Arabidopsis thaliana: one gene and its partners. The protein of the gene in region 3 interacts with the protein of the main gene of each other region in a pairwise test. Each region holds a gene or a part of one and is shown on either strand. Other genes may lie near its edges.

Region 1 (7,887 bases), on a different chromosome or scaffold from region 3:
TGCCCTGCCAATGATTGTTGAATGGTCTCTCGAGGAGGGTTTCCTTCTAGCGATATGGAATTTCATTCGAATGCAGATTCAGCTTTCAGCTGTCTTCTACACATTCTCAATGGGGACCAGAGCTCACTATTTCGGTCGAACTATTCTCCATGGTGGGGCCAAGTATAGAGCCACTGGACGTGGATTTGTTGTCGAGCACAAGGGATTCACTGAGAACTACCGACTGTATGCACGCAGTCACTTTGTGAAGGCCATCGAGCTTGGGCTGATCCTCATAGTCTACGCTTCGCACAGTCCGATTGCCAAAGACTCGTTGATTTACATAGCCATGACTATCACCAGCTGGTTTCTTGTGATTTCATGGATAATGGCCCCATTTGTGTTTAACCCATCAGGATTCGACTGGCTTAAGACAGTCTATGACTTTGAAGACTTCATGAACTGGATCTGGTACCAAGGCAGAATCTCAACGAAATCTGAACAAAGCTGGGAAAAATGGTGGTACGAGGAACAGGACCACCTGAGAAACACCGGGAAGGCAGGATTATTTGTGGAGATCATCTTGGTCCTCCGGTTTTTCTTCTTCCAGTATGGGATTGTATACCAGCTTAAAATTGCAAACGGATCCACCAGCCTTTTTGTCTACTTGTTCTCATGGATATACATCTTTGCTATATTTGTGCTCTTCCTAGTCATCCAATACGCCCGTGACAAGTACTCGGCAAAAGCTCACATACGGTACAGGCTTGTCCAATTCCTCCTGATCGTGCTTGCTATACTGGTGATTGTTGCTTTGCTCGAGTTCACGCATTTCAGCTTCATCGATATCTTCACAAGCCTTCTTGCATTCATCCCAACTGGCTGGGGAATTCTGCTGATCGCACAGACTCAAAGGAAGTGGCTGAAGAATTACACTATTTTCTGGAATGCTGTTGTCTCTGTTGCTCGCATGTATGACATATTGTTTGGGATACTCATAATGGTTCCAGTAGCGTTCTTGTCATGGATGCCTGGATTCCAGTCAATGCAAACGAGGATATTATTCAATGAAGCTTTTAGCAGAGGACTTCGCATCATGCAGATTGTCACTGGGAAGAAATCAAAAGGCGATGTCTAAGTTTAAAAAACGGTAAAGCTCCTTGTTCTCAACACCTTATGTTATGATCGTTTAAATCCTGGATTTCACACCAATGCGGGCTTTAAATTTGTGTAGGTCTTAAGAAGTAAATGGTAGTTCAAATCCTATTGGTATGTGGCGAAGGAATCAGTTGGAGGTTAGTTTTCCCGAAACAACCGAATTCGAAGTTTTGTTTCGTCTAAAGAAAAACTCAGATGCTGATGATTTATCTTTGTATTTTAAACAGGTTTTTGGAGAGTTTGGTTGGATGAGGAATCGGGAAGTTGGTTTGATTCGGTTAGATGGGTTTAGGGAGATATTTGATTGTCAGTGTGTGTGGAGGGAACTCTGATTCTTGTATGGTTTTTGTTCTAAAGGTACAGCAATTTGTGTAGTGAGGCTTTGTGTATTTGTTCTCCTTCTCTCATTATAGAGCTTTAGAGCATTTTTAGTTTATATTCAGATTGTTATCTAATGTCATCTCGCAGAGCTTTTGTTCACATTTCACATCTTTTCTTCTCCTTCTTAGTAGAGATCAGTTTCAGATTAGATACTTGTCCATATTCCACTACTCTCGTCTATTATCGGTTTCTGCTTGTCAATTTCTGGGTCCAAAATTGAAATAAATTTATATAATTGGACCACAACACCACTTTGTCGGTTTTGACTTTTCTACTTGGATGCTCCTGAACTTCTTGCTCCCTTTTCTATTACAAATTGGGAAACAATCAGTGTGAATTGGGGAATAAAAAAAAACAGAATTGAGCAATTAAAGCCACGTGGCAAGAAATCGACGAGGGACCAACGTGTTTGTCTGCAAGATCTAATCCTTTTATTAACAAAACGGCGACTGATCTAACGGGAAACTTTTAAAATCGAGAAATTGTTAATAATAAATTCAACTACTTCTGGGCCATCATCATCAATCTTGTTCGTCTTCCTTTTGATCTTATCAAACTACAGTCAAATCACTCAGAGAAAGCTACTAGGTCTCTCCTCGACATTTGCTTTCAATTCGATCCAGTAATTTTCTTCTCATCGGAGAGAGAAAAAAAAAATGGAAGACCCGTTGATTGGTAGAGATAGTCTTGGTGGTGGTGGTACGGATCGGGTTCGTCGATCAGAAGCTATCACGCATGGTACTCCGTTTCAGAAAGCAGCTGCACTCGTTGATCTGGTTCTCTTATTCTCTTACACCCTAATTTTGAATTCGTTTTCCTCTTTGACTTTTCAAAAAGTTTCTATACATGGATCACATCGCCTCCAAGAGAGATTCTATGTATTTTATCAGTTCATTAAGTCAGTGTTTTTGTTAAGCTGAGAAGATGAATCGTTTCTTCTTCTGAGTGATTTCTTCGTATAAGGATTAGTCAATGCTTTTGTGTGTATATCCTCACGAAATTAGCATTGTTTGAAAATTGGGAATGGAGATATCTGTTGTTTCATTGTCTCTAAAGTCTTATGTCAAGAGGATTGTTGGATTGACTCTGATTTGTGGTATGTAGGCTGAAGATGGTATTGGTCTTCCTGTGGAAATACTTGATCAGTCGAGTTTCGGGGAGTCTGCTAGGTATTACTTCATCTTCACACGTTTGGATCTGATCTGGTCACTCAACTATTTCGCTCTGCTTTTCCTTAACTTCTTCGAGGTCAGCACATTTCTTTGGTATACACCAACCTTGCTTGAAAAATTTATAGAAAATCACAACTTGAAAGTAATCACACACTTTTCCTGTCTTTTGCAGCAACCATTGTGGTGTGAAAAAAACCCTAAACCGTCTTGCAAAGATAGAGATTACTATTACCTGGGAGAGTTACCGTACTTGACCAATGCAGAATCCATTATCTATGAGGCAAGTAATTACACTTAAGTCTTGTTTGCCTTTGTTTTTTTGCTATAGATGCATAGATTTAGTGCAGATGGGCTCATGATATACATGTACATCCACTTGAAAGTTTAAGACTTGAATTGCCTTATGTTTGTTTTCTTTAAATCTTGAGAAGCCTTGAGTATTTATTCAAGACTAGTTTATCTCGTTTAATTCGTCGTTAAGAACTTAATATCAACACTCACATCTTATTTTGGATATGTTTATTATAAGGACTGGCCAAGATCCTTTTCTCATTGTGCTGAAATTATAATATTCTTTGCTGTCCAAATAGGTGATTACCCTGGCTATACTCCTTGTACATACTTTCTTCCCGATATCCTATGAAGGTTCCCGAATCTTTTGGACTAGTCGCCTGAATCTAGTGAAGGTATTTCCTTACTAGCCACTTCACAGTTTTGTGTTTCTTCTTTTTGTTGAAAATCGATCAGAAAGTAAGAAATTCCTTTTCTTCGTGCAACAATTTGTCTTCATATTGATTCCAGGTTGCTTGCGTGGTAATTTTGTTTGTTGATGTGCTGGTTGACTTTCTGTATCTGTCTCCACTGGCTTTCGACTTTCTCCCTTTTAGAATCGCCCCATACGTGAGAGTTATCATATTCATCCTCAGCATAAGGTATCCGTAGATCTCTGCTTCTTTTCTATCAACTATATGGGTTATATGTCTTTATTTCTATAGACAAAGATGCGCAGATCATGTCATGTATGATAAATGTCGACGTGTGATTATTTGACCTACTATTCCTCCTATTAAATCTCTAAATACAGCACATTCCCCAAAGTTATGATTCTTTACATTTCTGTACAGGGAACTTCGGGACACCCTTGTCCTTCTGTCTGGAATGCTTGGCACATACTTGAATATCTTGGTCAGTGGCCTTCCCCAATCATTTTTGACTTTCAGATAAGTAATTAACTCATATTGATTGTCATCCTATTTACTTAACTCCTTGAATATTTTCACAGGCTCTATGGATGCTGTTCCTTCTATTTGCCAGTTGGATTGCTTTTGTTATGTTTGAGGACACGCAGCAGGGCCTCACGGTCTTCACTTCATATGGTGCAACTCTTTACCAGATGTTTATTTTGTTCACAACATCCAACAATCCTGATGTCTGGATTCCTGCATACAAGTAAGTATTAGGTGAAATCCCATTTGTGTCTCAGTTTGCTTGTATGGCGTTGCATCCAGTAATTTAGTGACTTATTTGTTCTGTCCTCTAAGGTCTTCTCGCTGGTCTTCGGTGTTCTTCGTGCTCTACGTGCTAATTGGCGTCTACTTTGTCACAAACTTGATTCTTGCCGTTGTTTATGACAGTTTCAAAGAACAGGTGGATTAAGGATTTGATGTTTGTATGGTTCTTATGTCAGCTTTTAAAACAAAAGTATTAACCTCTTTTGACACCTTGTGTCATATCATATCTATTCTGTTTGCAGCTCGCAAAGCAAGTATCTGGAATGGATCAAATGAAGAGAAGAATGTTGGAGAAAGCCTTTGGTCTTATAGACTCAGACGTAAGTTCATCTACGCATAGTGATTATATCTACTCCTAGAGATATCCGGAGAAGTTCTCCTTGGGCAAAGATCTTCATGAATGGAGAGTCTTTGTATAGTTAACCACTTTGCTGAGCATATATTTCTTCGTTCTTTATTTCATGTTTTAACAGAAAAACGGGGAGATTGATAAGAACCAATGCATTAAGCTCTTTGAACAGTTGACTAATTACAGGTTTGTTGCTATGATCTTTGGTATTTTCAATCTTTCCTATGTTTCGAAAAAGAAATACATCTTTTATATACTTGTTTGTGGTTTCTTCCCTTTTGTATGTTAACTTGTGAGACCTGATAATGATATGCATTCATTTTTCCTTATAGGACGTTGCCGAAGATATCAAAAGAAGAATTCGGATTGATATTTGATGAGCTTGACGATACTCGTGACTTTAAGGTAGAGATCTGTGAAGGATGTGGCACATATGATCAGGATACACCTTAAGATTACTATTCACCTAAACCTCTTGACGACTAACAGATTCTTTGTCCCCTTTTTGTTTCCTGTTGAGCAGATAAACAAGGATGAGTTTGCTGACCTCTGCCAGGCCATTGCTTTAAGATTCCAAAAGGAGGAAGTAGTAAGTTCACATATACTTTATTTTCCTTCTCTCAAAATTTACTTACCTCCACCATATGTTTACATTAGCGATCCTTTTTGTTTTCATTGCAGCCGTCTCTCTTTGAACATTTTCCGCAAATTTACCATTCCGCCTTATCACAACAACTGAGAGCCTTTGTTCGAAGCCCCAACTTTGGCTACGCTATTTCTTTCATCCTCATTATCAATTTCATTGCTGTCGTTGTTGAAACAACGGTATATCATGTTCCCATATTTCTTTGACATGCGATTCCTAATTCTTTCATAAGCCATAACAGATTTTGGTATGCAGCTTGATATCGAAGAAAGCTCGGCTCAGAAGCCATGGCAGGTTGCCGAGTTTGTCTTTGGTAAGAACTTGAATAGGTTTCCACTATCTTCTCTCCATTTTGTATTTTTCTTCTATTTGATGCTTTGTGAAGTGTATAATCTATGGTTACTGAGAAATATGATGAAAAGATGAAGAATGAAATAGAAGTTAAGCTATTTCCTGTGTTATTACACTGAGTAGAGTACTTCTATGGATCATATTAGATTGTAACAGCCGAATTTTATTGACCACCTTTTCAGAGTCTTAACTTTTTCTTCTTTTAATTTCTATCTTTGAATGTTTTTACAGGTTGGATATATGTGTTGGAGATGGCTCTGAAGATCTATACATATGGATTTGAGAATTATTGGAGAGAGGGTGCTAACCGATTTGATTTTCTAGTCACATGGGTCATAGGTAACCTATTGAAGCAGCATTTTCATCTTGTTTTGCTGATTGAGTGATTGATGGCTATGCTATAAGTGATAATCTTTGTATCTGCAGTTATTGGGGAAACAGCTACCTTCATAACTCCAGACGAGAATACTTTCTTCTCAAATGGAGAATGGTGAGGAATAACGATGACATATTTGTTACAATGGTCTTCTTTTGTACTAACCCAGACTCTGGTTCTCATTGATAGGATCCGGTACCTTCTCCTGGCGAGAATGTTAAGACTGATAAGGCTTCTTATGAACGTCCAGCGATACCGAGCATTTATTGCGACGTTCATAACTCTTATTCCAAGTTTGATGCCATATTTAGGGACCATTTTCTGCGTGCTGTGTATCTACTGCTCTATTGGCGTACAGGTAAATCAGACTACTGAGTTTTTTGTCTGAAAAATGCAAGCTTATGATGAAGCCTTGGTCAATGGTCATTCTCGTCATTTTTGATTATTCTAAGCCTCTTGAAATTCTTCATCTTTCCGTTCATCTGAATGTTTTAGGAACCGCTGAACTGCTACTCTCATGTGTTTTCCCTGTCTTCTCTCACGGGTTCTATTTCCCAAATCAGATATAAAAATTTCTTCATCTCATTTCTCCGTAGGTCTTTGGAGGGCTTGTGAATGCTGGGAACAAAAAGCTCTTTGAAACCGAATTGGCTGAGGATGAGTATCCTTTTTAACTTTCTGAAAAACTTTTAATGCACTCAACACAGTCTTAGTACACCTTCTCTGTTCCTGTGATTGCTAGTGTGTTTTTAATTTTTTATTACTGGGGTAAAAACGTTTTCAGTATAAGATCGTTTCTTGACGGGAAAAACTCAGCTACCTTTTGTTCAACTTCAATGACTACCCCAATGGAATGGTCACACTCTTCAATCTGCTAGTTATGGGTAACTGGCAAGTATGGATGGAGGTAATTTCACTCTTCTGTTAGTCCCAACTTTAGACTCATTATAGTTTCCAACAAGAAGTATCGCAAGATTCATTGGAGCTGAGGAGGCCAATGCTAGATGTACTATAAACAGCTTGCTTCTTATTTGCCAATCACTATGGTGCAATGGTTTTAACTACTCTTAATTTCTTTCAGAGCTACAAAGATTTGACGGGCACGTGGTGGAGCATTACATATTTCGTCAGTTTCTATGTCATCACTATTTTACTTCTGTTGAATTTGGTGAGTTTCACTGACGCCAACTCCTAAGAGCTCGATCAAACAGAGGCCATGATTGTTGTAAAGAAACTTAACTCTGCTTCTTAGATCGACTTATAATGCGTGTTTGTTTCAGGTTGTTGCCTTTGTCTTGGAGGCGTTCTTTACTGAGCTGGATCTTGAAGAAGAAGAAAAATGTCAAGGACAGGTTTGTTATTGTCTTTGATTCGCCATAAAGTTACAGATGTTGGGGAGATTAGAAAAGTAAAGAACCTTTTGGTTCGTGTTCAATCGGCAATGTTTTCATCTCGTTATTGTATCGTTGCAGGATTCTCAAGAAAAAAGAAACAGGCGTCGATCTGCAGGGTAAGTAGATAGGTCAAATTGTTGGTTGGTAATATCATACTAGACTCAAAATCTGAAGGTTTATTTTGTTTTTATGGTTATTAAAGGTCGAAGTCTCGGAGTCAGAGAGTTGATACACTTCTTCATCACATGTTGGGTGATGAACTCAGCAAACCAGAGTGTTCCACTTCTGACACATAAAACAAAACAAGATCGTTAAGAGCTTATTTATACGTTTATACTGTGAATCTTTGATTCTATATGGAGAGATCAATAGAATCTAGAAGGTGACTAAATTTTTTCTTCTTTTGGGTGAAGATTTAATATAAGACGATTGTGTTATAATTTGTCATGAAAACATATGACTATATGACTATATGAGCATCAATTTCTTTAACACTTTTGTAATGTTTACTGAGTTTTACTTTGACCTTTTAAAATGTAACTTTTATTAGTAAAAAATCCAAAAGAACAT
Region 2 (4,867 bases), on a different chromosome or scaffold from region 3:
TTTTAAATACACATTTGCGTCAAAAAAAAAAACGAGTTTGCTGTCTCGAAAATAGCACCAATGCCCATTATTTCTTAATTGTATTTTTTCGGCTAAGGTTTCTAATTATTAATTTATTATCAAAACCTTACATATGGTAATGGTACACTGTACGAGTTTTTGGTTGTCTTGTGTTTTTCAATTTGTTCTTCCTCTTTATGTTTTGAGTTTTGTTGTCCTGTTTCATTTTATTCTTACTTTTGTTTTCTCTGAATTTTGTTTTCAGTGAACGTATAATTTAAAAATCTGCAATACAAACAAACAAATATCTAAAAGTCAAGTTGGCTTTACGCATGTGATCGACGAAACACCTAATTGTCTTGTTCTTTTTCATTCGTCTGAATAATTTCATGAAATTAACAAGACAAAGGTTCACATTTATAAAAAGGGAACGAGAGCAATCAAACTACAGAAGATCACTACATCAAAATAACGCATTTCTCAGATTCTCAGATTCAAACACATTCACCTAATTGTTTTGTTCTAGCTAGGCCTTTTAGCTATACAAATTTTGCATTAACATTACAATTTCCATCGGCATGTAAACAATTAGCACTAACTAATTAATTAGTACTGCAATATATCAAACATAAAAGATGGTTAATTAATTCAGTGTCAAGTTGCTGATCCTAATGAGAATGCAGTGCTGAGACAAGATCTGATGAGTCTAACAAAAATGTGACTAATTCAAATCACATTAATTACTGTATGTAGCAAACATAAGATTATATATATAATATATCACACCAATTTATATAGGGAATAAAACATATCCTTGTATGCAATGCATAACGTAGTTATTAATATAGCCTTACATGAATAACGTCGTTAAGATAACGATATGACACTATAATGACGAAACCTTATGGGAACATCATGAAAATAATGTAACGCGAGTTTTGACTTTCCAATGTAAACGAAAGGAGTAGAAAGCAACGGAAGACTACGAATGAAAGTATGGAGCTACGTATAGTTTACGAAATAATTAATTATACATATAGAAAAGTAGTGAGTCAACTTTTCTTTCCATCGTAATCAATAGCCCAACTGTTTACTATCATTGTTTGAAATATCCTCTGACACAGAAATGTTATCTTATAGTCAATTTGACGTACAATATGCTCTCTTAATAAAATCAAGAAATCTAGTTTTTATCAAAAACTAAATTTTGTCCCCATTCCATGGATAATGTTAAAACATTACATTCATTATAGATCCATGCATGTGAATGAAAAGGCTCACGGGTAAAAAGGTTATTAAGGTATCAATATGACCTCAAATTTTGGATAGATATTGAAGATTTCATACCACTTTTTTTAGTGTCAAAAGACGGAAAAGTAATAACTAAACTATACTACTTTTAAAAGTTTGAAAATTGAAAAACAGATTTTACACCTAATTTAAAATATCAGATCAAAGATCTTATCTACAAGACTAAAATTAAACTAGTAGCGGTCTTTGCTGTCCATTGACCGAGTTTTGCGGGTGGTTTACTCATTTAAGTACCACAGCATCAAATTAAAATAACTGTCACTTGTCGAAAGTGACTAGATAAAACCAAAAATAGCTTTAATTGAGTCAAAATTGTAGTTCTAGTGCAAAGTAAAGAGTTATCATCTTACAAAATGCGACTCATTAGTGTATTAATTAATTAATTTTCAGTCCAATAATCTGGTTAATTTGGTAAACTATCCAAAGAGTAATTAAATGATTCCTCGTCATAAATACTAATTTTCTACGTTTTAAGCAAAAAAGACAATAATTATTTGGTCTGAAAACTAAAAAAAGACACGAGATTAAGGGAAGAAGATAACGATCTAGAGGAATAGGCAAGTGGAAGAACCAGAACAACAGCTGTTCTTTTCTTCTAAACTTCAGAAGTCAGCCGACAGTTAATTTCTCCTTTTTTTGAGGTTTTGTCGAATCCTATAAATTTCAACTAAACTCTTCTTCATTTTCAATATCAAATCTTGTCTTCTTCTTCTTCTTCTTCTTCTTTTTCTTCTTCTTACATTTGATTTCTCTGTCTGAATTCGAGAACCAGATCTACTAATTACCTGAGAGAAAAAAGATCTGCTCTGTTTGTCTGAAACAGACAGAAGTCAACAAATCTTTCATTTGTTTTTTAGCAAATCAAAGAAATGGCCGGAGGGTTCGTCAGTCAAACGCCGGGTGTTCGGAACTACAATTACAAACTGACACCGAAAGTGTTTGTGACATGTTTCATCGGTGCTTTTGGTGGTCTCATCTTCGGATACGATCTCGGGATCTCAGGTTTTTTTCTTTTCTTCAAGTCTTGTTCTTCTTTGATCTGATCTAGGAATTTCCGGTGACTAATTAGGGTTTCTATATTCTTGTAGGAGGGGTAACCTCAATGGAGCCATTCTTGGAAGAGTTCTTCCCTTACGTCTACAAGAAGATGAAGAGCGCACATGAGAACGAGTACTGTCGATTTGATAGTCAGCTTCTCACTCTCTTCACTTCGTCTCTCTATGTGGCGGCTTTGGTGTCTTCTCTCTTTGCCTCCACCATTACTAGAGTTTTCGGAAGGAAATGGTCGATGTTTCTCGGTGGTTTCACCTTCTTCATCGGTTCTGCTTTCAACGGCTTTGCCCAAAACATCGCTATGCTTCTCATTGGTCGTATCCTACTTGGTTTCGGAGTCGGATTCGCCAATCAAGTAAGCTCTAAAAACTGTCTTTTTCCTTGATGAAGAAGTAACACTGGTGGCTTAGTTAACTGGTTTTGTTTTGTGTTTCAGTCTGTACCGGTTTATTTATCAGAAATGGCTCCTCCGAATCTAAGAGGAGCTTTCAACAACGGGTTTCAAGTAGCGATTATCTTTGGTATTGTGGTTGCAACGATCATCAATTACTTCACCGCACAGATGAAAGGAAACATCGGATGGAGAATCTCTCTCGGATTAGCTTGTGTCCCTGCAGTGATGATCATGATCGGAGCTCTGATCCTTCCCGACACTCCCAACTCTCTCATCGAACGTGGCTACACCGAAGAGGCCAAGGAAATGCTTCAGTCCATCCGAGGAACCAATGAAGTCGATGAAGAGTTTCAAGATCTCATTGATGCAAGTGAGGAGTCCAAGCAAGTGAAACACCCATGGAAGAACATCATGCTTCCTCGTTACAGACCACAATTGATCATGACTTGCTTCATTCCTTTCTTTCAACAACTTACCGGAATCAATGTCATTACCTTCTACGCCCCGGTTTTGTTCCAAACCCTCGGGTTCGGTAGCAAAGCTTCCCTCCTATCAGCTATGGTAACGGGTATCATCGAGCTCTTGTGTACCTTCGTCTCTGTTTTTACAGTGGATAGGTTTGGAAGAAGAATCTTGTTCCTCCAAGGAGGTATCCAGATGCTTGTCTCTCAGGTAACACAAACGCCTAACCCTAACCCTACTATACGTTTCTTAATTGGCACTCAATATCTCAAAATATCGGTGTGTATTACAGATCGCTATTGGAGCCATGATTGGAGTCAAATTTGGAGTGGCTGGAACAGGAAACATAGGGAAAAGTGATGCCAATCTAATCGTGGCACTGATCTGCATCTATGTAGCGGGTTTCGCCTGGTCATGGGGACCGTTGGGATGGTTGGTTCCTAGTGAGATATCTCCACTAGAGATCCGATCAGCAGCTCAAGCCATAAACGTTTCGGTCAACATGTTCTTCACATTCCTTGTGGCTCAGCTCTTCCTCACTATGCTTTGTCACATGAAATTCGGACTATTCTTCTTCTTCGCCTTCTTTGTTGTCATAATGACAATATTCATCTACTTGATGTTGCCTGAGACAAAGAATGTGCCAATCGAAGAGATGAACAGAGTGTGGAAGGCACATTGGTTCTGGGGAAAGTTTATTCCTGATGAAGCTGTCAATATGGGTGCTGCTGAGATGCAACAGAAGTCCGTATGATGATGATCAAGAATGAAGTTTTCTTTGGGCAATAAAGATTTATGAGAAAAGAGAAAGTGAATAATTCTTGGGATGAAATAAGAATAATTGTCAAAAATGCCTTACTTCCTAAAAGAAAGCTGCTCTGTCTTTAGCTTCAGAGACTTAGCTTTCATTGTTTCTTCTTTCTTCTTTTTTAATGTTTCTTTGTTGAAATTGTTATTTGGGGCCTAAAGATGTAAAAACAAAAAAAAGAACAAAATTATTTAAAAATGGTTTCTTATTTTACATTTCATTGAATCTTTATTTGAGAAAAATAGTGTTAACGCTTTATGCAAGAAACAAGAATAGTCATCACTCATCAATCGATATTCCAGTTTATCCTTACCATTTTTTTCTTTCCAATGATTGCGGTACCTCTTCAGCTCTTCTTTGCAACAAATTTTGTGAGAAAGTAATTTCACATTTTCGAAAACTGATCGTTTAATATAACTTAAAACTATCACTCATCTAGTGACGGTATTACAATTTCCCAAAAAAAAAAAGTTAGAAATAATACAAGTACTGATGTGCATCAGTGCATGGATGAATAATTGAGTACAGAGTCAAAAACTCCCGACCAAACCTAGCAGTGATATTACCTTTAAACTTTGATAGCATATATCAAACTGAGATTGACCTATGAATATGATGGCAACGAGCTCGTGGAAACTGGTAACTGAAGATTCTTTTTTTTTGTCTATTTGGTTTCATTGCCTGAAACTCCCTATAACGTTTTCCAATTCTTTCTTTCAAATTACGCATTGTAAATAACATTATTTTTGTTGAAAGATATTTAAGATTATTAAAAAATTCAAATTGATCTATATAGTACCAATTCTTTTTTCTGAATGTGATCATGAGAGAGTGTGTGT
Region 3 (3,144 bases):
AGACTAACTCACGCACATATTTTCGAATATTACGAATGTAAGTTCATAGTTAATAGTAATACTATTTCCAGTTTATTCACTCGTTATATAACAAGTATAGTTAAACAAGTATAGTTAAAATTTGACGGTGAACTAGATGGAGTCTCAATTAATTTAAAATATCCAAGTTGATAGCAAATTCAGAACTATCCTATGGTAAATAAAATATATAAATGCAAGGAAAATATGAAAGTAACACAAATACATGGAGGAGACACAATTATAACAATTCATAATTAAAGTAACTAAACGAATCTCCTTACAAAATATAAAATGTGAGAATATATACGTAATACAAAAGGGTTAATGCATTACATTAGTTTCTGAAAATGTATATAAAATTACAGTTTGTGTACGGGATGAATCACGTTTCCATCGAAACATTGCAAGCTTTGAATTTATGATCAATAGTGTTATGATACTTTTTTTTTTTTTTTTGGGCAAACATAGTGTTATGATACTATGATTCATTTTTTTGTAGATCTTAGTGATGACATAAAATTGTAAGAATTTTAAGTACTATTATGTTATTCCGTTTTAGTTTACTCTATTACTGATTGGTATTAAAGCTGTATGAGAAAGGTTACCTATCACACTTTTGAGAATTACAAAAACTAAAAACGAGTTTTCCACCATTGGGGATAGGAAATTACAAGCAAACATTCATTAATCATAACCCAAAATTTTCTCTCAGTAAATTTTACATTTCCCGTGAAAACACGAAGGAAAATTCCCCAACAAAAAAAAAAAGACAAGACTGAGAGAAGAAAAGAAAACAAAAAAGCTCACTGACTCGTTGTTTCTTCATTTTCTTTGGCTTTCTCTCTGTCTCCCATTTTCTCCTCTCCAGCACCAATACCATCCTCCTTGAAAATTACCATTCTACCCTCGTGACCGCACATGCATTTGTTCGCCGCCGGCGTGGCCAGAAACCTCGGCAAGTCATCTCCGGCCATTATGACAAGAACCTTCTCCTCGCACGCCGCGCTAGCCGCCTTCACTCCAGACCGACTCTCTTTTTCCTCGTCGACTCTTTCGCCGGAGTCATCACCGGAGGTTGACAAGCGCCAGTAAGAGCAGGCTAGGATAAGTAAAGCGAAGGCTATGAGGCCTAACATCGCCGCAAGACCACCGAATAGGTACGGCACCGGTGAGTGCCACGGCGATATCGGCGGTCGGTGATTCCCAAATGATTCTACTGATGTGGCATGTCTAGCTACATCTAACGATGTTGGTTTAATGCTCAATGGCCTCATTTTTTTTATGTTTCTTCTGTTTCTCTCAGATTTTTTCTAACTATTTTGTTTTTTTTGTTTTTCTAACTTTATATAAAGGAAAAAGTGAAGAAAGCTGGAAAGATGAATGAAACAATGGGTGTGGTGAGGTGTTATATTTATAGGTAAGAAGTCCCTGGGGAAAAAGAAAGTGAGTCACTCCGAATATTTAATTATTTGAATTAAAGCAGCTTTTTTTTTCATTTGCCGTTTATTACTTTTTAGTTTTGCCGCATATATTTGCATGCAATATTATGTACTCAAACTTACTTTGTTATAGACACATATATATGTTAAGGTGCTTGTTTTTTTAAAGAAAGATAGCGAACATTAATTACACAAATTTAAACTAGACACGATAAATTAAATTTTAGTATCTTTAAGAAACTACACTAAAAAAAACTTGAAAAATGCCTACAAGAACTACCGCAGATTGGTTTAAAATTTTTGCTTAACGGTTGTTGAAAAATATATAAATGGTGATTTTTAAAATCAAAAAAAGGATATCAATCATAATATTTACCAATAAATTTGAAACCATATGAACTTTGACATCAATCAACTACACAAACTACAATAATTGGGTATTAGACTTATAAGTCTTATATCCAATAATATGTCAGTGATAGCATGATATCGAGAAAGTTTTTGGAAAGACAAGGGGTTTCCTCTTGATGACTCTAAGATACTTTAAGCCAAATAGATCAATTTAGATAGATGAATAGTTTGGTTTCTGGAAGTGACAGAGGAATGAGAGTGAGAGATGGATTCCAAGACCCCTTACTCTCAGTTCTAATTTATGGCACGATATCTATCTTCTTGTGAGGACACACTATGATGCCTAATGGGGATTTTATTTTTTTGGGATCCCGCAAATTGGGAATCCAACTTCTCTCTTTCTTTTTGGATGAAGAAATTTTCTATCTCTCAATTTTTCTATATCTAAAAGTATTATAAAGTCTATCACTTAATATTTGTCATGTTATAGGTTTTAAATGGTAACACATTCTCAAAGCGATATAACTTGTACTATTTTGAGAGTTATCATTCGCAAAAATTAACTTTATCAAAAACATTACAAAAAGTTTTACTCTTAACTTTACTGTACAGCTTTCTCGTATAATTCTTTTGTACAACTTTGCACTATTCCAAAAAAAGTTTTGGTTATAGCTAACAGCTAAAATTTTGTACAGTTTTGTGTTACCAATCGGACTTATATAAAATAAAATAATCTCGAGTAGTCCAAACACAATTTTCAACTTAACATATCACCAAACTTTGCTTGAATTCAATAATTCTCCTTTTTTTTTTGCAAAGTAAATTATTTAATGTTTTACAATAATAATGAATATTAAAATCTGCACCATAACACATGGCTTAAAAAAAATCATGACTTAATATCGGTAGAATATTGTTAGTCATTATTGTTTAGAAAAACATATTTAGGGCAATAAAGATTTGGAATTGTTAGTTATAAAAGACTAACAAATTCAAAAATTTATTACCCTAAATATATATTTTGAATTATTTTAATTATTACAAATAAATTGATTTGATATTAAAATATATATGTTTTTGATTAATTGTTATTAATTTAAGAAAGTTAATTTAGTAATTTTACATATTAAAAATATATTTTTAAAAGAAAAATAAAGAAAAAAAATTTCAAAAGTGCAAATAAAAGTCATATGTGGGATTTTTTTTTTTTTTTTTTTCCAATTGTTACTATCACACCAACTACCGTGCACCAGGTGCACTACCTCAATAATCCATAAAGCTGTCATCATATTAAAATGTAGTGATCAGGTGCAAATTTGTGCCCCAAATGTTA

What was found. The genes of interacting proteins can lie anywhere in the genome.
Region 1: the proteins of GDU4 (region 3) and TPC1 interact in a protein complementation assay, tested with the Arabidopsis thaliana proteins (one large-scale study listed by BioGRID).
Region 2: the proteins of GDU4 (region 3) and STP4 interact in a protein complementation assay, tested with the Arabidopsis thaliana proteins (one large-scale study listed by BioGRID).

Annotation. Positions count from the first base shown.
Region 1 is NC_003075.7:1,578,079-1,585,965, forward strand, and holds the start of TPC1 (two-pore channel 1), read left to right. Parts: upstream 1-1,850; 5' UTR 1,851-2,174; coding exon 2,175-2,294; intron 2,295-2,622; coding exon 2,623-2,766; intron 2,767-2,862; coding exon 2,863-2,970; intron 2,971-3,280; coding exon 3,281-3,376; intron 3,377-3,491; coding exon 3,492-3,622; intron 3,623-3,814; coding exon 3,815-3,875; intron 3,876-3,972; coding exon 3,973-4,139; intron 4,140-4,231; coding exon 4,232-4,337; intron 4,338-4,443; coding exon 4,444-4,521; intron 4,522-4,674; coding exon 4,675-4,736; intron 4,737-4,882; coding exon 4,883-4,955; intron 4,956-5,073; coding exon 5,074-5,139; intron 5,140-5,231; coding exon 5,232-5,375; intron 5,376-5,451; coding exon 5,452-5,509; intron 5,510-5,778; coding exon 5,779-5,886; intron 5,887-5,973; coding exon 5,974-6,037; intron 6,038-6,112; coding exon 6,113-6,281; intron 6,282-6,519; coding exon 6,520-6,584; intron 6,585-6,739; coding exon 6,740-6,830; intron 6,831-7,004; and 8 more. Other genes in the region: GSL05 (glucan synthase-like 5), read left to right, coding at 1-1,117. UniProt on the Arabidopsis thaliana protein: Functions as a voltage-gated inward-rectifying Ca(2+) channel (VDCC) across the vacuole membrane. Is one of the essential components of the slow vacuolar (SV) channel.
Region 2 is NC_003074.8:6,932,868-6,937,734, forward strand, and holds STP4 (sugar transporter 4), read left to right. Parts: upstream 1-1,700; 5' UTR 1,701-2,180; coding exon 2,181-2,313; intron 2,314-2,399; coding exon 2,400-2,719; intron 2,720-2,800; coding exon 2,801-3,430; intron 3,431-3,512; coding exon 3,513-3,974; 3' UTR 3,975-4,330; downstream 4,331-4,867. UniProt on the Arabidopsis thaliana protein: Mediates an active uptake of hexoses, probably by sugar/hydrogen symport. Can transport glucose, methylglucose, galactose, xylose and mannose, but not fructose.
Region 3 is NC_003071.7:10,557,630-10,560,773, reverse strand, and holds GDU4 (glutamine dumper 4), read right to left. Parts: upstream 1,602-3,144; 5' UTR 1,296-1,601; coding exon 825-1,295; 3' UTR 535-824; downstream 1-534. UniProt on the Arabidopsis thaliana protein: Probable subunit of an amino acid transporter involved in the regulation of the amino acid metabolism. Stimulates amino acid export by activating nonselective amino acid facilitators.